2 linked regions of the Danio rerio genome follow. The protein of the gene in region 1 purifies or fractionates together with the protein of each later gene. This does not show direct contact. Links are inferred from orthologs where the notes say so. Each region holds a gene or a part of one and is shown in the gene's direction. Other genes may lie near its edges. The genes, in order: vdac2 and phb.

Evidence for each region.
Region 2: the proteins of vdac2 (region 1) and phb purify together in Homo sapiens (affinity purification with mass spectrometry; 4 studies listed by BioGRID, with this or other methods). This does not show direct contact. The link is inferred for Danio rerio from reciprocal best matches to the Homo sapiens genes VDAC2 and PHB1.

What each region holds. Positions count from the first base shown.
Region 1 is NC_133188.1:19,699,225-19,710,200, reverse strand, and holds the end of vdac2 (voltage-dependent anion-selective channel protein 2), read left to right. Parts: intron 1-1,339; 5' UTR 1,340-1,344; coding exon 1,345-1,411; intron 1,412-1,507; coding exon 1,508-1,557; intron 1,558-1,767; coding exon 1,768-1,920; intron 1,921-2,018; coding exon 2,019-2,071; intron 2,072-3,472; exon of another isoform or gene 3,473-4,346; coding exon of another isoform or gene 4,347-4,354; coding exon 4,355-4,582; intron 4,583-7,008; coding exon 7,009-7,159; intron 7,160-7,847; coding exon 7,848-7,905; intron 7,906-9,552; coding exon 9,553-9,644; 3' UTR 9,645-10,460; downstream 10,461-10,976. UniProt on the Homo sapiens protein: Non-selective voltage-gated ion channel that mediates the transport of anions and cations through the mitochondrion outer membrane and plasma membrane.
Region 2 is NC_133178.1:14,397,770-14,410,064, forward strand, and holds the start of phb (prohibitin 1), read left to right. Parts: upstream 1-4,560; 5' UTR 4,561-4,586; intron 4,587-5,058; 5' UTR 5,059-5,076; coding exon 5,077-5,161; intron 5,162-8,713; coding exon 8,714-8,875; intron 8,876-9,536; coding exon 9,537-9,679; intron 9,680-12,181; coding exon 12,182-12,295.

The sequences.
Region 1 (10,976 bases):
ACTCCCTCCTTCACTTGCTTCAAACCTGTCTGAGGGTGCTTTCACACCTGTGAATCGATTCAGTTGTTCCGAAACAGAGATTACAATTGTTACATTGTTGCTCTTTGCTCTTGGAGCGGTTTGCTTTCACATTGCAAAGTTTCTAATCGGACCAAAAGAGCTAAAACAAGTCACGTGCGAGTAAACTCACCTCACATTGGTCAGAGTGTCAGGGTTTATTTTGCAGCGTCCCGCTCCGCTGTCAGGAGAGGTGGTGGTTTGATGGTGACTGACAGGGTGCGCGCGCGCGACGTGTCTGAGGAGAGACGCGGTGGGGAGGGGTGAGAAGGGTGCGCGACGATGCCTAGGACCGGGAGGGAGACGCGAGATTACCGGGAGATCATCACTCGTTTGCGGGCATCCGGAGACTCGCGAAACTTCCCGCCCTACTCATAATTCTCTCTTCATATAGCCGTAAGCCTATTACATATTCATAAAACAGTGTGATATAACCGCACTCGGATCGGATCGCTTTCTCACTGCAATCGAACCGCTCCAGGGTTCGTTTCAATCGATTACTTTGGCGCGGAACAGAGCACGATTGCCCTGTTCACATATGCCAATCGAACCGCGCTAACTGGGCAATCGAGATACGTTCTGAAACAAAAGTGTAGGTGTGAAAGCACCCTGAGTTTCTTTGTTCTTTTGAACACAAAGGAAAATATTTCATTTTTTAGACTATGTATGTTAATGGTTAAAATGTTTCAGCTTTCTTCAAATATCTTCATTTGTGTGTAGCAGATAAAAAAACAAAACAAAAGGTGCATGTATTACAACTTGAGGATAAATAAATAGAGAAATGTGATATTTTTTTGGTGGTACTGTCTCTAAGGCAGGGCCACACTACATTTGTAAACTATTATTCAGAGCGCACAGATTTTGTTAGTTGTTCAGTGAGCCTCCACCACGATCACTCATTGCTATTCACACAACTGCTTCTTCTGCTTACTTGCACACGTCTAAATGTGTGTGTCTGTGGGAGTGAATCGGGACGTCACTTCCTTGCTCTGTGACTCAGTTAGGTGCGGCCTGCTGTCAGTTCAGATTAGCTTGAGTGCAGCAGCTGCTTTCAGGCTGGGTCATTTATCATACTGATAGGACATGGTGATAAACCATGGAAAGCTAGACATACTGTAGACCACCCAAAACATCCCACTGTTGCTTGGTTCAGAAAAATAACTTTCGTACAGTTTTTTTTTTTTTTTTTTTTTACACTGTTTTTTTGGTTTTTGCACAGGTGTTTAGTGTTATGGTGTTCTTCCGACCCACTAATGATCTTTGCACACTCTGTTTTAATTAGATAAAATGGCCGTTCCCCCAGCATATGCTGATCTTGGCAAATCTGCCAAAGACATCTTTAACAAAGGATATGGTAAAGTATTTAATAATTCATGATGTCTCTTGGGAAAAAAATGTTTTTTAGTTTTCTGTATTTGTTCAAAGCATTTCTTTCATTTTTTTTTTTAAGGATTCGGTATGGTGAAGCTCGATGTCAAGACAAAATCAGCCAGTGGAGTGGTGAGACTCAATTTTGTTAATAAGTTAATACAAATATTGTGAATCTACTTATACTAACAAATCATTAATTATTGTTATTAAATTAGTTATATTTAGTCATCACATTGCAAAACCCTAGACCTCTGTTTAATTATTTAATAATTAGTTATCAAGTCATTAAGCGTGACACCTTACACCAACTTAAAATATGTTCCTTTCCTGTCTGTATAGGAATTCAAGACCTCTGGTTCCTCCAACACTGACACCAGCAAAGTGGTTGGGAGCCTGGAAACCAAATACAAGAGGTCTGAATATGGCCTGACCTTCACAGAGAAGTGGAATACCGACAACACCCTGGGCACAGAGATCAACATTGAAGACCAGGTCTGAATGCTTTTTCCAGCACTGAATAGTAACCAATCGAAGTCTGTTATTTTTAGCATGAATAGCACTTTATAATCCCCTTTCTCTCTTTTTTTTAGATCGCAAAGGGACTGAAACTGACCTTTGACACAACCTTCTCACCAAACACAGGGTATATTAATTTCTCACATTTATTTTAAGCATTAATATGTTTTGTAGTTGGTTCAGAGGAGGTGAGAAACGCTATATTGACACGTGGTGGAATGTAACTCAATATTGTATTGAGCAATTTGAGTGTCACCATGGCTGCATCTGAAATAGCATTCTTCCCTGATATATAGTAGGTGAAAATGAGGTAAAAGTAAAATGACTACTTGCTACTAAGATTCTGAAGTGATTGGCAACAACACCACTGATCCTAATTACTTTAAAACATAGTCCAATCACTTGTTCCAAATAGGTACCCGAGTGTGATTGCAGACAAAGCTAGATGACTGTTAGTTGTCTTTTGTTGTGCAGGGATGAACACCTCAAGGTTACTTTCACACAAGTGATAGTGGTGGTGTAAATCGGTCAGGAAAGTGGCACCTGTCTGCTATCGTATGGCTTTGTGCTCTCAGATGACAGTCACGTTGACATGGCCTTTACTGATGTATAGGCCTGTGTGGCTCATGACAGCGGCTGTAGATCATGTGGCAAAAAGTTTTCACAGTTTTATTTGCTTAATATTAAGTCAGTTAGAGATGTTTATGACAGAAATATTTCTTTTTACTGGCTTTGTTTGTCATTTTAGTAGATTTAAGTTCTTAAGAGGTCTTGAAAAAACAATCGTAGTGACATCAGGCTTTTGACTGGTAGTGTATTTTACCAGCAGTGCTGTGTGCTCTTGTATTAGTGCAGACTCTGCAAAATGAGCCATGGTTTGCTGTTTTGTTTTTGCTAGTCTTTAAATTTAACTGTAACTTGAGCATTAAAGTGATGGTTCATCCAAAAAGGAACTTTTTGTTATCATTTAATAACCCTCACTAGGGCACACAGGCTAAAGGTGGCCCATGGTAATCTTTAATTTAGCCCACCGTCTCAACTAAAAGGAGAGAATGACATGTATTTATTTATATAGATTTAACCAATATTGTCATTTCTGATTAAAAGTAACTTAACGTTTTGTTTGTTTTATGGTTAAGCTACAAAAAAAGCTTATGAAAATTAAATGTTTCAGTTAAATGTTGTAAATGAATCGGATATTTTTGTTTATGTAAATGCTATCACTTGACCGTAACTTGACCAGTGTGTACAGCACTGTATTCTAGTGTTTTTATTGTATCAACATTATTATAGGATGAATAAATATATATAATGCATTAGGTAATACGGTTAAAGTAATTTTTATTTTTAAACAGTATGAAATAAATTATGAAATTGACAACTTTGATTAATTACAGTTTGCTTTTTACCTTTGGCCCACAGCTCTCAATCAGATTTAATTTTTGGCCCTTCATAAGAATGTTTGGGCATCTCTGCTCAAGAGCAATAAGTAGCCATTAACATTCATAGTGATGGATAGATACTGTAGATAGCTAGATAATGTAGATACATAGATTTGATTGATTGATTGATCGATTGATTCAACGTTTGAAGTGGATCAAAAACGTTTTTAAAAATTGTCCTAAAACAATAATGAGTACTGTTGAATAGTTTTAGAACAACTTCGATAAAAGGATTTGGTCCTCCTCAATTGTTTGACTACTGTGTGCTATAGAAGTTTTCAAGTTATCTTTAGGTTTCAACAGAAAAAGTACAAGCTTGGAACAAGCAGAAGGTGAATGAATGATGTCAATTTTTTGTGAACTATCCCTTTAAGTGGTTTATAAAGTGACATTGTCCTTCACTGTGGTATTTGCAGCTTGTCCTTTGGCATGTGTCTGTGTCTTGAATTCTGACTAGTACATATTTAGCAGCAGGTTATTTTACTTTGTATATGGCTTTGTTTATGGTTTATTGCACGATGGTCCCGAAGTCATATTCATAAATCGAATATGGAGAAACAGATCAAGCTAAATCAGCAAATCAAGCTAAATATGTATATAAATAAACACTAGCTTGTCTATGACAGAAGCACTTTTTTATTCTATTCTAAAATGGATGGTGACTAAACATATAAAAACAAAATATTAACATTAAGAACTGCTGTAATAGTAAATTAAATAGATAGTCTGATATCAAATCTTTTGCACTTTTGATTTTTTTTAGTGGTCTAAAAAGTTCCAAAGAGAAGTTATTTATTAAACTAATTTTGTCACTTGTTTGATGAGAAGGAATATTACAGTCTAAACAGTTTATATTTCTGCAAATCGGTTTGGTTTTATTGCTAGTCAAAAGCTGAATAATCTTTGTTTAAAATACCTCTTGTAAACTAAATAGGATGCCGAATTGTTTACTTTTGTCTCATGAACAGGAAAAAGAGTGGCAAAGTCAAGACCGCATACAAGCGTGAGTTTGTCAACCTGGGATGTGATGTTGACTTCGACTTTGCCGGCCCAACTATCCACGGCGCTGCAGTGGTCGGTTACGAAGGATGGCTCGCCGGTTACCAGATGTCCTTCGACACCGCCAAGTCCAAGATGACCCAGAACAACTTTGCTGTAGGCTACAAAACGGGAGACTTCCAGCTGCACACTAATGTGTGAGTCCTCCAACATTACTACATCATTCTAAGTGCATGTGACTGGGATTTGTGTTTATTTTAGTGCAAGGAAGTGTTGATATAATGACATTATGTACACAGAGTTGACATGGAAGTTTAACAGCATGTCACCAGGGTGATGTGTTGTTGTGTTTTAATTAATTTGCCGTATATGGACAGCTTAAAAATATGAAGAGTTCAGATGCAAAACCCTCTAAATCTATTTAACCTCTTTTCTTGTAAATGAGCATCCACAATTGGGACAAGATAGTGTAATTAGTTGAAAATCACTTAAGATAATATTAGAAATTATTTTACCAAACATAAAACATATTACACAAACCACCTAAAAAAAATAAATACATAAATAAATATATATATAAATATATATCTGTCAAGTGGCAGTTCATTGTGTTGTGATTAAACCAGGAAAAAAAAGGAAAATGAATGAATGAAATCTGTCAAGTAGATGCATCAATCAATAACATTAAAAAACTGACATTAAATCTTAACGATCTGTTGTCATTTCTGATATTTGGGATTTAGATTTAATGCAAGTAGAATAATGTAAAATAAGCTTGTTAGATTCAAATAATGTTTTGTAAAAACATTGAAACATCAATATCTGCATAGTCCAATAATATAAAAAGCTTATTAGGCGTATTCACCTTATTCTCAGCTGTCGAGCGGGCGCTGCCATTTGAATCTTTTTGTCTCGCGACTTCCGGTCACATTCACTTCCATTCATTTTTTGACGTTAACAACTGCTCGTTACGCTGCTTGATGTTGCAATTAAATATTTTCTTATTATAATATGCTACTTGGTCTGTGTAGTCATGCAAACATTTGTTTGTTGAGCAAGTAGTTTGGCCATTTTCTGCCGTTTATTATTCCTAGTCATTTCTCCTATAGGCGACTGAATCGGAAGTTCTAAGACAATCGCGAAAACAGGCGCACTTCCGCATTTTAGAATAAGGTCAATAGTAGAGCTGCATGATTTTGGCCAAAATGAGAATCGCGATTTCTTCTTCTTTTTTTTTTTTTTTTTTTTTTTTTTTTTTTTTTTTTTGTTGCTTAAAATAAAGATCACAAGTTTCTCACGATTCTGTTGATGTAAAAAAAGGTTAATATGAGTCGGCTATTATTATTATTTCTCAAACATACGGTAAAAAACTATAATACGTCTACTGTTGGTTACAATGCTAAATTTTGTATAGACTTGGAATAGTGATCTTGAACAGACATTCAATTTGTCCTGGTCATTGCACAGTAAAGTGATGACATCAGAATAAAACTATTCATAATTCTGATGTTCAATTATCATGTTTAAGACTTATGCTTGTAATCTGTCATTGACAACATTATTAGACCAATTTTTTTCTACTGGTAAAATCAGACATTTTGTCATTATCAAATTCCCTCTTGCATGATATTCAACATTATAGGCTGGTGTTATACTGACACTGTTTAACATTCTGTTTAACGGCTCTTCCTAAAAGCCGGCGTTTCAGCGCACTGCTACATTGAAAACATATGATTCGATTTGCATCTTCTGTTTGGTTCTCGGGATATAGCGGCTTTTGCTGTCAAAGGCAAGTGCTGTTTAACATCTTGTGCAAAAAAACTGTTATCGACTTTTGCATCTGAACTCTTCATATCAAAACCTTTCATCAAAGTTGTGAACCATTCTTTTTCTTAACTTTTGTTGATCCATTGTTTTTATGTATAAAATATGTATATAAACTATAAAAAAAAAAAATAAAATTTATGTCAAAAGTTTGTACATATATGGTTACAAGCAGGGTCTTATAAAGTATTTAAAGTTGATAAATCAATGTAGAGATATTTAAGGCCCTAAAAAGTATTAGTCTTAAATGCTATTTTGAAAGGTATTAAATTTCATACCATTTTTGATATAATTATTGTGCAATGTATGCCTGTACACTAAAGGTTGCCTGAATTAAATCAGCGAATATCAGGATGCTGTGTAGTTTGTAAAATCAATGAAATCCTACTATATTTGACATCATGCTGCTTTGTTTACTGAAATAATAAAGGCAACACCATTATTTCTGCAGTTCTATAGGCGCCAACCTGCTGAATGAGCAAGATTTAATAGATTTGTATTCAGTATATGAATAGTGTTTAAGCTTTAGATTAGTTTCTTACATTAATATTTATTAAATATACTGCAAGTTAAAATCTCACCAGTGTGTCCAGTTGATAGTTTTTAAGGTATTAAAATGTATGGAAAGAGTCTTAAAAAAGGGCTAAAATGTATTGAATTTTACTCTGATTCCTGTATAAACTCATGTGAGGTAATGTGCTTCTAGAAAATGATTCCTGGTTTAATTTTTAATTTTTGTTTTTTTACAATATATTTTCAGTGATTAATTGATTTTCTGTATCTCTCTCGCTCTCTGCAGTAATGATGGCTCAGAGTTTGGTGGTTCCATCTATCAAAAAGTGAGTGATAAGCTGGAGACAGCGGTGAATCTGGCCTGGACAGCAGGAAGCAACAGCACACGCTTTGGAATTGCTGCCAAGTATCAGCTGGACAAAGACGCCTCCATCAGTGTGAGTAAACGGCACGTTTTTAAAAAATTTTTTTTACTAAAAGTCAATTTGGTTTCAGCAGAAGACAGGAGTTTATTCAAGTGACCTAATCTAATCAGGGTCTTTCTCAAATGATTTGTAATCAACATTATAAATTGGTTAATATTAACCCACACTGCCATTTATATGCAATTGAAAAATGCTTGCATTGCAAATAAGCACATGCAGGAATTAAACTATTAAATAAACAGCCAAGGCCAAAAAGACCAAAGGCTTTTCTTTTTTTCTTTTTTTTTCTTTTTTTTGTTTTGCATTTTAAAATTGTCTTTCAATACAGCTAATTTGTGTTAGTTAATTTGTCAATACAACTAATAACAGTGTTTTGTACTAGGACCTTAAATGAAATAAGTGTTTGTATTATGGTAAGTAAATGCTGCTATGGTGTAAACAAAGGCCTCTGAGCTGCCTGTGATTTATCTTGTTGAACAAAGGGGATATATTTTGAAACAGTTGAATAAAGAAATCAATTCTTTGTACAGTATTTTCCAACAACTCAATATAATTTCTTATTCTATTTTGTTGAGGATCAGATGATGACTAAATCAAAATAGTTGAATCACAAGAAGCTAATGAAAGCTTCTGTTGAAAATGTGTTTGTGGTTTTCTTTTGCCTCTAGAAATAAGTCAATGTTTTCTCTTTTTTCAACAGGCTAAAGTGAATAACACCAGCCTTGTTGGTGTTGGTTACACTCAATCTCTGAGACCAGGTACAGTGATGTTTTTTTTTTTCTGTCATTATTTAAATATGCAAATTTATTCATGAAAGGCATTGTTTTGATCCCTTGTTCAGTTAAACCATATAACACCCACACTATATAACTTCAGTTATTAAAGCTTAAATACAATTCAGTGTTAATGGTTTTAGATTTGATTGATCAAATTCTGCAGAGTTGGTCTGTAGTTGCACATACTGGGATAAAATCCAGCAGCCTCGTTTGGGTTCTGAAACCTATAGATTGTTTTTATAGTAGAGTGACTTGCGTGTAAAAAATGCATTAGCCCTCAAATTGTTTTAACTGGTTAAAGAGTACTCCTGAAGTGGTCGACCTGGTGTAAATATTAATAACTTGCATAAAAGATGCATGAATTGTGACCACAAGTATTGTGCAAACTTGACTTTAACATCCACAGTATGTTAAGAACAAGAACTATGAAGATTTCTAAGCATTTCTTAGACAAAATATAAAACATTTAGTTCAGATATCAGTTGTGAACTTAAAGCCTGGACCGTTCAAATGCAAAATGACGACTTGCAACACTACACCAATGACTCGTTAGTTTGTTTGTTTATTTATTTGCATTGTAAAATGGCATTCAAAAATGTGTCTGAATAACTCTTTAGCAGTGAAACACATGTCCATACTCAATGTTTTTTTACCCTTTGTCATGTTTGCTATAAATTATTATTTGTTTATTCAAACCGTGATTTAAAATAAAATAAAGCAGAACAAATTAAACAATACAATTTGAAAAATAACCTCATTTGAAACTTAACATTTTGTCTAGTCTCCACTGAGCAGCAGGTACATTTCCAGCGATACAATAACCATTTATATCCATTTCCATTGTGATGTATCTAATGAATTTAATAATGAATTAAAAATAAATAAAATGTGTGTGTGTGTGTGTGTGTGTGTGTGTTTATTTATAAAAAAATTTAATTCATTATTTAATTATTTAAAAAAAAGTGTGTGTGTATATATGTATGTATGTGTGTGTGTGTATATGTATATATATATATATATATATATATATATATATATATATATATATATATATATAATTTATTTTGTATTTTATGCTTTTGTAATGGTACATTTACATCAAGTCAGTCCATGGATGCAATCAGACATCCTGCAGCGCTATTTATGCTAATGAGATGGCATAAATGGAGTAAATGACACTGAGAATTCAGGGTTGGCTTAATGCGTGATTTGAATGGGTCAAGTTGAAAAAACGGAATTTTGGTGGACATTCTCGCCAAACTGAAAATGCTTCATCTCTAATTACAGACAAATATTTATAATTATAAGCTGCGTCTGGTGTGAACGCTCTATAAGGGTATCAAGCACAACAATATGTTGCCAAAAGGATGGAGCTAGACTCCCTGCAGAAAGCTGGTTGGTTTACAGTATACATCACATTTCAAGTCAGGGGAACGACAACATATAGCACCACTATTAAATATACAGGCAAAACATTACACCATAATCAATGACCTATAATACAATTGTTGTTCACGGGTCCATTCCTGTCACTTCTGTACTGCTCAGTGGAAACATGCCATTCGTTATTTAGTTTTGCATTTATGTTGTAAAACTCTTGTGATTTTTAAAAACTTTGGTGTTTTTCAGGTATCAAGTTGACCCTGTCTGCCCTGGTTGATGGGAAGAGCATCAATTCCGGTGGCCACAAGCTGGGCTTGGGCCTGGAGCTGGAGGCTTAAACCTGCTTCTGCTGAACATCAGGGACAAGGGAATATCAGAGAAATCTGGCCTTAAATCTAACTCCAGCAGCAACCAGCAGGGGGAATCGGGATGGGATGTGTGCAAAGGCTCATCAAAAGCGATCATGTCATGTGGTTTCTTTTTCGTCCCCTTCAGGTCCTTATGTTTGTTTTTCGTTTGTAGTTGTTCTCTCATAGACATTCAGCTACAAATTAATTTGGCCATCCCTCTCCAGCACTTCCACAGTAATGAAATGCGCTCTGGGATAGAGGGCATCTGTGGCGTCCTGATGTGTTGCTCCCTCTTCAGTTAGACGGTGGTGGGTTTGTGACAAAACTGTCTCTGATTTCATCCTTTGTATTGTATCTGATATTCCTTCGTCGTCTGATTGCGATTCAAGCAAACCACTTTACTCGATATTAAAGGTTCTACCTGATATTATTTAAATACTGTTATACCGTTTTCTTCTTTCCATGCACGCAAGGACGAGCTTTAAGCAGTTTACTTTCCCTCGGGCAGCCATCCAGAGTTTATCTTGCAGGTGAAGTCTGCCCTTGAGCTGAGCAGTTTTTGGGTAGCCTAATGGGGTGGTGAGTGCTGTTGCCCGTGAGCTGGCATGGCTGGCCTTCTGTTTTTCATTTGCAGCACAGATGACTCTCCGTGGCTCCCTGTGATGGCGGGACGGGTCTTGTGGGTGTGGTTTGAGTTCAGTACCTTTTGCTCCCGGTGTTGCCCTGATTCCCATGCTTTACAACACCTCAGAGGTCCTTATGTGTATGTTTGAACTTTTCAATAAACTCTTTGAACACATCTTACCATACGGTTGTTGTTGCTTACAAAGCGAATAGCCTCTCGTAACATAAACCCTAGCTCAAACTCTTAAGGAGATCTACTGTAATAGGGTAGTGGACATGTCACAGAGAAAAATAGTGCTTAAATTACCAAAAATACTGCGTAATTGAGATTTTAAAGATAAAATGGATTTTTTGCAAATATTCTGTTCTTTATATCTAACTTTGAACAGAAGTTTGTCATGCAAAAGTAAAAGACTTGTACTCTTTTTGTTTGGATAATTATTTTAATATTAAATGGCCTTTCAGTCTGATTTATTTGACCTTTTTTGACATATCAATGTTTAAATGAGTGTAAAACTTAGTTTATTTTGTCAGAGGCCATTGTTAGCGTTTTTAATCAAACCTGACCATTTGCTTCTGCTTCTACAGTTCTTAACTGATGATGGCTTAGGTGAAATATGCTTAGCCACGCCCTCCAACCGTTAATGTAAATGATTGCAAATAAAACCCCGCCCCTTAATATTCTTTTTTACCTGG
Region 2 (12,295 bases), on another chromosome or scaffold:
AATGTTAACATCAGCAAGTTTAATGAGTGAACACACCTCAGTTTCTTATCTCTTTAGGGCTATTTCATGATAACGCTGCTGTGTCGAGATGACAGTTTAGCTTGTGGTCTTTCAATACTGAGATTATAGCTGATTATATGTTGATTAGTTCCTGATTTGATCAATTTGAAGCGATTGGTTTTAGGCTGCAACGTTGTCTGTGTCATTCAAGGCTCTTTTTACGAACACCCACACAATTCCTACACCCTTTTTTTAAAATGTTGCACAACACTATCAACACTCCCTAAAATAAAGATATCAGGTAAGAATGAAGTTCGCAAATAAAGTGATGCAATGTTATCTAATGGCTCATTAAAGAAGGGTAATCTCATGATAAATATTTTAGACTCTTTATGCATTATAATGGACATCACTGCTTTATTTTTATGAAAAAAAAATATATAGACTACCGCTCAAAAGTTTGGGGTTATTATTCTGTTCATCAATTCTTATTATTAAAATTATTCTGTTCGTCAAGGTGGCATTTATTAAATGTAAAAAATTGTTTAAAATTAATGACAATTTTAAATAACAATATAATTTTAAATAATATAGTTATTACTCCAGTCATTATTGATTTTATTACTATTAGCATTAATAATAATAATAATAATTATTATTATTTTTATTTTTTATTTTTTTTATTAGAGTGATTTTTACTTTCAGTCTCTGAAGACTGCAGAAATGAAGCTGAAAATTCATCTTAAAAATAACTTTAAACTAAATTATAAACTACTTTTGAACAGTAATTTTACAGTGCAATAACATTCACAATTTTACAATTTGAACTGTATTTTGATTAAATAAATGCAGCCTTGGTGGGCAGGATAAGCTTATTTTAAAACATTTAAAAATCCTGCTGACCCCAAACTTTTGACCCGTAGTGTATCTTATTATTCATGTCAATTGGCGGAGCCCTAATCTTTTTGCATTAGATATAACAAGATCAATCTACCACTTAACTAATTTAGGAAAATCTATTCTATTGAAATTTAGAAAGAAATATATATATATATATATATATATATATATATATATATATATATATATATGACGGTTCATTCCACTGTGGCGACCCCTGATTAATAAAGGTACGAAGCCGAAAAGAAAATGAATGAATGAATGAATGAATGAATATATATCAGGGTTTCTGCAGGTTTCTTTAAGTCAAATTAAAGACTTAAGGAACTTTTAGACCATTATGAATGTAATTTTTGACTTATACAGGGCTAAACACTAAGGATTTGGCCCAGTTACTTCAGTAAATAGTTTTTATATTAATGGAAGATTATGTTAAGGGATATGTTGCTTTAGTACTCTTTCCCTGCTTAAGGAATTCAATTAGGAGAATTTGCTGTAAACATGTCTAACAGCTGTTGTGACTTGTATATCTTAAATAAAAACAAGTATAGCTTTAAGATGGATTGTCAGTGATTGATTCGCTGTACTTGGACATACAGTAGGAAAATTAAGACATGATTAACATAATTTAAGACCTACAACACAATATTAAGGTCAATGTAAGACTTTTTAAGGCCTAAAGTTAGTTTTTGAGAGTTAAGACATTTTAAGACCTTGTGGACACCCTGATATATATATATATATATATATATATATATATATATATATATATATATATATATATATATATATATACAGAATAAATTAGTTAATTAATTTATTTAAAAGTCTACTGTATACCACTGAGACATTTTAATGGCATTTACCAAATGCATTTACCATCTTAAGACAGTATCTGACAAAAATGACCAAATAAACATAACAACAATGTGTTTAATTAACTATTAACTATGGCTACATTTGGGAAAAGCATCAACGTATCTTCATTTCTGTAAGACCTGGTATATTTAGTGTATGGTATGTAAAGCTGCATGTTAGAAGTTCAATCTCTCAGCAACACCCATAAAAACAAACATCAATCAATTGATTAAATCTTCCGTGCGCTGTGACGTCAGTGGCCAGGTGAACCAATCGTAAAACACGATAGTGAACGGCGATGAACGCGGAAATCCAAGAATTGCCTTTTCACGATCTGTTGTAAATACAGGAACACCACGATACAGCCTAAATAAATAACAGCCTGAGGTAACCGGGGCAGAACAGTAAAGCGCTTCAATTACTGAGGAGCTGTTTATTTGATTTGATTGTGATGAAGATCACAATCATGCTGTACGACATTTTATTCGGAGAATGAATCCTGAACTAATGTCATTTAGTAATTCGTTTGTTTACTTTTGCTATAAAGTTTCATTCGCGCATCATCATCATCATCATCATCATCATGACTCATTCGCAGACATTCACAGCTAGCTAACTATAGTTGTCCTAAAATAGCTCAAAGTTATAACGTGATCCGACAAATGCCAAATAAACAAATAATCGAGACTTACCGATTCAGAAGAATGCGTCCTTAAAACTGCGGGCTTGTGTCCGTCAGTTTACAGACAGCTGCACTGCATAAAGCCTGCGCACTGCGTTATAATAACTCGCTTCTGGTGGGTGTGTCGTCCTGGAAAAGAGGAGGAGGGTGTAGATGTCTGGTTGAAGAAGGACTTTCCGTAATCACTGCATCACATGCCTTACTGTAGTAGGGGGTGTACAGTCATATTCTGGATAATAGCATGTCTACATGTTGCCTTGTTTTGAAGTAGCATTATAATTTAAAGGGGTCGTTCACCATGTTCAGATAGGCTACTTGGTTCACCTACATACCATGTTCAACTTGTATACACTGTATTACAGTGGCTTTTACCACAATTAGAAGTAACTTGATGGCTTTGATGCATTACAATCAAAATCAGAAAAGTTTATTAAGTGCGCTAACTTTATTAGTTACTAATAACTTTAACTTTTAGAGATATTACTTAATTAAAGTTATTATATATAAAGATAGTTAATCTGCGGTTAATTAGCACAGGCCTACACTACCTCACAAAAGTCTTGTCATTGATCCCAGTTGTAAAAGCAACAAATAATTTATTTAGTTGACTTTTAGTAGATCATTTGGAAAAGTGTCAGAAGGTAGTTTTTCAGATGAATCATCTGTTGAGCTGCATCCCAATCATCACAAACACTGCAGAAGACCTACTGGAACCCACAAAGACCCACGATTCTCACAGAAATCAGTCAAGTTTGGTTAAGAAAAAATCATGGTTTGGTTACATTCAGTGTGGAGGCATGCAAGAGATGGATGGCAACATCAACAACCTGAGGTATCAAGACATTTGTGCTGCTCGTTACATTACCAACCACAGGAGAAGGCAAATTGTTCAACAGGATAGCGCTCCTTCTCATACTTCAGCCTCCACATCAAAGATCCTGAAAGCAAAGAAGGTCAAGGTGCTCCTGGAATGGCCAGCCCAGCCACCAGAGATGAACATTATTGAGCATGTCTGGGGTAATATGGAGGAGGAGGCATTGAAGATGAATCCAAAGAGTCTTGATATGCTTGATGATCTTGGGGTATTAGTGCTATATAAATAAACGTCCTTTTCTGTTTTCATACAGCATGTGGTACACTAGTAGTAAAGCCTCTGTACAGGAATTGCAGTAGAAAAATGTAGCAATTTTATACCACTCTCACTTTCAACAGCAATGAAATAAAAATAATAATAAAAGCTCACTGCACGGTGGCGCAGTGGGTAGCACATTTGCCTCACAGCAAGAAGGTTGCTGGTTCGAGCCTTGGCTGGGTCAGTTGGCGTTTCTGTGTGGAGTTTGCATGTTCTCCCCGTGTTGTTGTGGGTTTCTCCTTGGTGGTCCAGTTTCTCCCAAAAACATGTGGTATAGGTGAATGAGTATGTATGGGTGTTTCCCAGTGATGGATTGCAGCTGGAAGGGCATCCACTGTGTAAAACATATGCTGGATAAGTTGGCGGTTCATTCTGTTGTGGCAACCCTTAAAGGGACTAAGCTAAAGAAAATAAATGAATGTGTTTCGTTCTTTGAACACAAAATAAGTTATTTTGAAAAATGTTGGAAACTGGTAACCATTGACTTCCATACTATTGGTTTTTCCTATGGAAGTCAATGGTTACAGGTGTTAAACGATGTTGAAAACATATTTTCAGTATTTGAACGTGGTTGGACTATAGCTTTAAGCAGTCGAAAGAACGCCCACATGACAAGTTTGTAGCAATATTTGTTTACAATACGCAATATGAATTACATTGTCAATAAAAAAATATAAGAGAGAGAAAGACAGAAGAAAAAATGAATAAAGAACATGATATAAACTTGAGCATAAGACATTTAAGTATCAATAACAGTACATAAATTAAAGTCATTACAAAATGAAATAAGGAACGCCCACATATTGCATTGCAGTGAACCCACCTCGTTCTAAAGCAACGTGAGATGTACGCCAATAATAATCCTCCTTACTCAAGAGGGCGTTCGGTTTGTGTCTCTCTATCCAATCGGAGAAACTCATGTTGACACTGTTCTGCGCATGCGCAAGCTCCACCTGCTCATGTGTTTCTTGCGCAGGCTCCGGTGGAGGTCACTGTGATCATTCAGCGCAGCGGGTAAGTGCTCACGTTTTAGGAGACTTACATTTAAATGCGAACTTAAAGCTTTTGTTTTACTCACAAAGCATCGGTAATTATAACGCGACAGTATGAAAGTGAAATAAACACGACGTGTGGGTGTTTGTTGGCGTTATTGCATGACAGTTGCATCATTAGCGTGTAGCAGGCTAATAAATGAGTGAAGTTCACTACTGCGGATTGTATTAATGCCTGTTAATCTGTGTCACATGTGTTATTGTAATAGCAATTGTTTTTAAGTGGTGTATATATGTGTATATTGTGCAGTTTTACTTGTGATTTTTCCAGTGACCGGTTAGAGTGAGATCAGATTAGCACGTTACATTGATGTCAGTGTCACTGTCAGAGTCAAGGCTAAACCGGCTAGCATTGGTTTGATTACCCAAGGGCTCTATATGCACAAGAGATCACCCATGATGAGATACTGAAGATGAATGTGTTTTCCCCGCAGGACTGTCACTTTGTTGTCATGGCGAAGCTCTTTGAGTCCATTGGGAAGCTGGGATTGGCCTTGGCCATTGGAGGAGGTGTTGTTAACTCTGCTCTGTACAATGGTGAGTTGTAATAACTACTGATGTGTTTTGTAAAACAATGGCAGCAATGGTTAAAGCATTTAATTCCTATAAGTATTCTAATAAGGTCAATTTAAAGGGCTTACACGCAACAAATTAAATTTGTTGTTAATTTTATCCACATTGAGGCTGTCGATAGGTCATAGGAATGCACAATATTGCAACTTTATATTGCTATATTTAGAGTTCCCATGGGTCTTGGAATTTTTGTGAATATCATGAGTTTTAAAGGGGGTCATTTGTGCATATATCAGTTTTCTAAGTGGTTTAAATGCAGTTGTGTGGCAACCGTGTGTGAATATAACCAGCTTGTAATGGTAAAACAATAGTTTTATTATAGTTATTTATTATATTATATTATTATCCAATAGTTTTATTAATAGTATTATAATCAGACTTGATAAACAGTCTGCATGAACACCTTGATTGACATTGTACCTGTCATCAGAGGGGGAAAGCCCGTCCATTAGTGACGATCTCTGCCTCATTAGCATAAACAGCCCTGAGTGAGAAGCAGCCATTCGCCATTAAGTCGCCCTTCCACTGCACACGACAAGCGAAAGACTGGAAGACGTTGAATTTCCAATGGAGAGTAGTCCGGGAGCTGCGTAGAGTTCAGATTCTCTCCGTATGTGGAAAATTTGGATCCGATATGAGCTGCAGAGCTGCTGTTGGAAATATTTGAACTCCTGCGACTACACCGTATACGACCGACCGCATGTGATGTAGTTCAGTGTTGTCCAGGCAGGTCTGTGCGTGCGAGATGAGAAATAGGATTTTTTTTTTTCTTAAATCAGAAAAAAGTCTATATTAAAAAATGTTTTGTTCATAAATGAGTCATAAAAATACTTTTTTTTGTTTGTTTCCACATTCCCGCCAACATTTTTAGCGGTCTGAGTTTCTAGTGTTGATTCATTCATTCAACCATGGTGGACACCCAGAGAGTAAAGGCTCTTGCTTTTGCACTCTTTTATTACTGACGCTGTGAGAACATCTTCTCTCCCATGGTGCACGACAAAACTGAAAGTTCTGTGCGACTGCCACAAGGGGGAGTATTCCGACAGTCGTGTTCAAATGTGATGTGCAGTGGAAAGGCGGCTTTAGAGTGTTCACCTGCTGAAGATAATGACACTGACTATAAGGCACTATTAATGTGAAGTTTTAGATGCGCAAATGAACACTGTAGTCTCCATAGACTGCCTTCTTTTGAGACGTTTCTTTCACATTTTCAGTTTTCACAGAGATCTCCTTAAGTACTGTTAATGAATCTGCCACTATGCTGACGCATTGACATTTATAGCTCCACCTGCCTTTGCACAGAGCAAAAGCTAGTTTACATTTCAAGCGGCAGTCACAAAGAAGCGGCGTAATTTGGACCAAAGCCTAAAAGGGGCAGTTTCAAAATGGTTATAAAGCAATATTTATTTTTCATCCTGCAAAAAAGGATCTTAATAGTTCATTTTTAAAATGTTTATTTCAGATATTTAAAGTCATGGAAATTTTTTTGTCCAAGTCGAGGAACATCTAGATTTTGCTTGTCAATTTTTATTTTACTTTTCATTCATCAAATTACATTTATCGAATTGCACTTTATGTAGCCCGTGTGTGTGTGTGTGTGTGTGTGTGTGTGTGTGTGTGTGTGTCTGTGTGTGTCTGTGTGTGTGTCTGTGTGTGTCTGTGTGTGTGTCTGTGTGTGTGTCTGTGTGTCTGTGTGTCTGTGTGTCTGTGTGTCTGTGTGTCTGTGTGTCTGTGTGTGTGTGTGTGTGTGTGTCTGTCTGTCTGTGTGTCTGTCTGTCTGTGTGTCTGTCTGTGTGTGTGTCTGTGTGTGTGTGTGTCTGTGTGTGTCTGTGTGTCTGTGTGTGTGACTGAGAACTCTAAATCATGCTGTTTTTTGTTTTTTTTTAGCAGGTGTGCTTGTGTGGCCGTTTTATTTTTATTTTTATTTTATTGTTCATTTCATAAAGCACAACATTTCTCTATGAGTTCTCTGCCCGCTGCTATGTTGTTTGTGTGTTTCTACAGTAAATGCACAGGGACTTCAAAATGAACTTTTGGTGCTTAACACCTTTTTATTGGTCTTTTTATTTTTCTGCTCTTTCAAAAATAAGGTCCAGGATTTAGATTAAAAGTTACTTGTAAATATTTTCTCTATTTAACAACAGTACAGTAGGTCAGTAGTGAAAGATGGCTTCACTTGCGTCAGATTTTGCTTGGTCTTAAAGCTTTCTTAGATGGGTTATTTCACAATTTATAATGGCATAGCAGACAAAATAGGACAAATGAGCTCATGTATGGGGAAAGAAATTCTGGAGCTTTGTCAGTGGGGTGAGTCATAGAGGAGCGTTGCATGTTTGAAACCTGACTTTCATTCAACTAAATCAGGGGTCAGCAACCCGCGGCTCTAGAGCCACATGCGGCTCTTTAGCGATGCCCTTGTGGCTCCCTTAAGTTTTTTCAAAAGTGTTCAAAAAGATGGGGAAGGTTAGTATATATTTTTGTTTTAATATGATTTCTATTGGAGGACAAACATTTTTAACGTTTTCAAATGCTGTAAAAGTGTGTAGAATTAATATTTAATTTCAACATTTCTGTCAACGAAGATTTGCGTCATAGCCTGCGACACAGGTTTCTATCAGCAGGGCAAGATGCCGGGCAGGTGGCTGTTGTAAACAAACCGGGAGATAATAAAGCATGGAAAACCGTTCACAGATGGTGACTACATAAAGGAGTCATTCATCAACATATTAGAACACCTATTTGCAGATTTCAAAAACAAAACCCAGATAATACAAAAAAATTAAAGATATACCGCTCTCTCCGCTAAGACAGTGAAGGAAAGGGCTATTAAAATGGCAGGTAACATCACCGATCAGCAAACCAAGGACATTAATTCAGTGCCCGCATACTCAATTGCCTGTGATGTGACCGATATTCAATGCGCTTTTATGCATGAACTCTGATGGGCCGCAAGAAGAAATGATCAAATTAATATCACTGAAAGACCAGAGGCTGTGCTGAAGTGTTTAAATGACAACGAAATAAACACCAACCACCTGATTTCAGTGGCTATTTAATCATGAAGGCTCATTATGTATTTGTAACCAACTTACTCATTTTTATAGTAAGCTAATATAGCTACTATAGATACAGCATGTGTTTCCTTCATTATAAGGCTTATATAAGGCTTTACATTTTTTGCGGCTCCAAACATATTTGTTTTTTGTTTTTTTTGGTCCAATATGGCTCTTTCAACATTTTGGGTTGCCGACCCCTGAACTAAATGGTTGTTAACAACACATTTGAGTTAACAGATAAAATTGACTTATTGTCCCGCTATTGTTGCGAGTTCCTGCTGCTTTCTTCAGTATATCCTCCTCAAACGGTCTTGCAACAGCTGTATTGTAGATAAATAAATGATGGTTGAATTTTTTTATTACGGGTAACTTACCTTTTATGTAACTGAAATGTGTTATTTATGGCCGAACTGCAAATGTGTGTAGTATCAGTTGTTCAGACCTGTGTTTCACATTGCAGTGGATGCGGGACACAGGGCCGTCATCTTTGACAGGTTTCGAGGTGTTCAGGATGTTGTTGTTGGGGAAGGCACACACTTCCTTATACCCTGGGTGCAGAAGCCAATCATCTTCGACTGCAGGTCTCGACCACGCAACGTACCCGTCATTACCGGTAGCAAAGGTGCGTCAAACTGCTCAGCTCTTCACTTCAATCCTCTTTTTCTGATTGCTCTTATGTTTGTCTATTGCTTTATCCTAAATCACCCCTTAAGCACTATTCCCTACATCTGTCCACTAATATAGTCCACTTGTTTGTGCTTTGCTGGTTGGTAAATCCCTCAGATGGATTAGTCTTTAAACTTCTTGTTCTGGCCCTGTGATAACACTTAGTTCTTTAACACTTAGCCTATTAGTAATGAGACAGAGTATTTTAATTTCTGTCAAGTATATAATCGTTATTTTAATTAAGTAATATTAGAATTTGAAACCTACATCCATTCCACTGTGGAGGCCATGTTGTGGTCAGACATGGAAATTCATTTGGCTCTCATGGTGCATTTTGGGTATTTTCTAGCTGTTGAGTGTACATGGGTTGTAGACTTGTTATTGTGGTGCATTGTGGGATTGATATGGTGCACTTCAGAACATTTTTCTATGGTTTTGGGCACCACTAGAAATGGCTGCTCCCTTAAACAGCGCACTATAAGGGTATATTTCAGATACAGCCAATATCTGTTTGTCAGTATGATGATTGTTATTTTTCAAATGTTTAGTCTGTTTTCATTAACCTTTACTAATCAAACATTGGAAACTGGCTTATGGTTTGTCGTTGTCTTTGACAGATTTGCAGAATGTGAACATCACACTGAGGATCCTGTTCAGACCGGTTGCAGGACAGCTGCCGCGCATTTTCACCAGTATCGGAGAGGACTATGATGAGAGAGTTCTGCCCTCCATCACCACTGAAGTGCTGAAGTCTGTAGTGGTGGGTACCGGCAACAGATTTTAAAAGAAAGGGGGGATTTTATTCATTAAAGATGTATAGAAATTAATCGAGAGTCAAAAGATTAATAATTTTAAAGAATAAAATGAATAAAAATAAAATCATCTTATAAAACCATATAAATAGATTTTCTGTTCATCAAAGAAGACTTTAATATCATATCACAGCTTCCACAAAATATTAAGGAGCGTAACTGTTGATGTGTGTTGACAATCAGCATATTTAAATGATCCCTGCAGGATTGCATGAGACAGAAGTGTGGAGTTATTTTTTATAAATTCAACTTCATCCATAAAATATATAAATTAATATATTAACTAATATGATTTAAAGTTTAATGTAATACATAGGAAAACATCACATATTTTACAATATTATTATTTTTTCTTTATTCTTGATCAAATAGATGCAGTTTTTTTCATACATTTTTCCATTTAGATCTGGCATAATGCGATTATTATTTTTTTTTAATTATTATTATTATTTTTATTATTATTAATTTTTATTTAAGACATGTTGTTTAACATGTTTTGTTTAAATGTTTACGCTTTTCATTTGTGTGTGTTTGTCATTTTTAACCCAGGGACTTTAGCTGTCAAAGTCTTTTATAATTATCAAATAAGTTATGTCACTTTGTAGACAAACTGTTGCATTACAGCATGATTTTTTTTTTACTTTTTTTTTTTGTTGTAATAAAAATGTTTAACTGCAGTAATACAAATTGTAAAAATGTCGTTCAGCAGTAGCGTTCAAAATTAAAAAATTTTTAATATCCACTATGAAATAAGACATTTCTAACCTGATTTTGTATGGTTTTAATTGACTATATGAAGTTATCACTGTTGTATAAAATAAAGTGGTTTCCGCTTTCTGCTTTAAAAACAAAAAAAAAAAGATTTTTTTTGTTTTATTTTAGTTTTCAAAAATTGAGCTGAAAATCATATCTAATTATTTTTTATATAAATTGTGATTTTTAATTATTTTTAACATTTATTTAATATCAACACTTTTTGAAGAATGAAGTTGTTATTGAAGTTATTGTTATGTAGTATGTATTTTATCTCTTGATTTTGCCATGAAATAGCCATAAGTTGCTGATGTGCCAATAAACAAACAAATCTTGCATTGTTTGACTTAACCCTTGTGTACTGTCTGTTTAAATTGACTACCCTTCCGTTATGTTGGTGGCTGTTTTTGCCCCATTGACTTCCCTTATAATGAAGTTTTGATTTTTGATTGACTATGTTAGACCACCATCTCCACACCAGATAAATACGATCCAGCCCCAGACACCAGATCTTGTCAACTAATGTTAGTTTCTCCATGTATATGGACAACAAGTCAACAGAAATTCCATTACCCAAACCTGTTAACCAGTATTTAACTGAATTAACAGTCTCCTATCCATATAGGAGTTGACTGATAAAACCAGAGAGGAGCAGAAGCAGGAGACGAAGTAATGATGATAAAGAAAGAGCAGAGTTTATTGAATAATCTTAGTTGTGTATGATTCAATGCTCAGACTCTGACCAGGATAAATCCAACAAGTGTTATTATACCACAAGCAACAGCAATGAAAAGTTACTGCTTTACAACATTGTCCAGAGACAATACAGACCTTGAAATAGAAAACTTCACTTACTCATGAAAACAAGTGTCGCTTAAATCCATACAGTCATAAGATTATAACAATATGAAAAAATGGAAATTATAATGATGCAATAGTTATAGGAAAATGGCAATAATAAAATATTAAAACATAATAAAATGACAAATAATAATCAATAATAATAATCAAATCATTAACTAATGATCAATAAAATTATATAATCATAATTATGAATGACTAATGATCATATGCTTTAAATAAAATAATTAAATGAAGAATAAATGAATGCATAAAAGCAAATTAAAATAAAACACAACACAAATGAATGGTTGTTTTCTTGAAACGACTCGCATAAGTTTGCTACAAGGATTCTTAGATCCTAAGTTAAATTCTTTAACTACAACTGATGATCAACAGTCAAAAGTTTAAAATTGTACCTTTTCCCAATAGGGAAAACCAGCAACAAGCAAAGATGCCTGATTATATGCTGTCATCATGGCTTTGCAATCAAATAATGTCATTATAATGAAAGTCAATGGGGCAAAAACAGCCACAAACATAATGAGAGGGTAGTCAATTTGCCCAGAGCGTATTTTTGAAAACTTTCAAAGCATTTTCTCAAAATATGTGTCAAAATAAGAGTTGTCCCCAAAAATTATTCTGTTTGCTGAAACACAGAGAAGGTTGTGGCCAAATTAATAATCAAAATCAACCCAGTGTTGATTAAAACATCCCCAACAGACTTCTTCCAAATGCTCATAAAAAGCCAGACTCCAGACTTGTGAATAAAAATGTGAATAATAGAGTGTTGATCTACAGAACATGAAACTGAAGTTAGATTAGTGATATGTGTGTGTGTGTGTGTATTTGCGCAGGCCCGTTTTGATGCGGGTGAGCTGATCACTCAGAGAGAGCTGGTGTCCAGACAGGTCAGTGAGGATCTGACAGAAAGAGCTTCCACCTTCGGCCTCATTCTAGATGACGTCTCG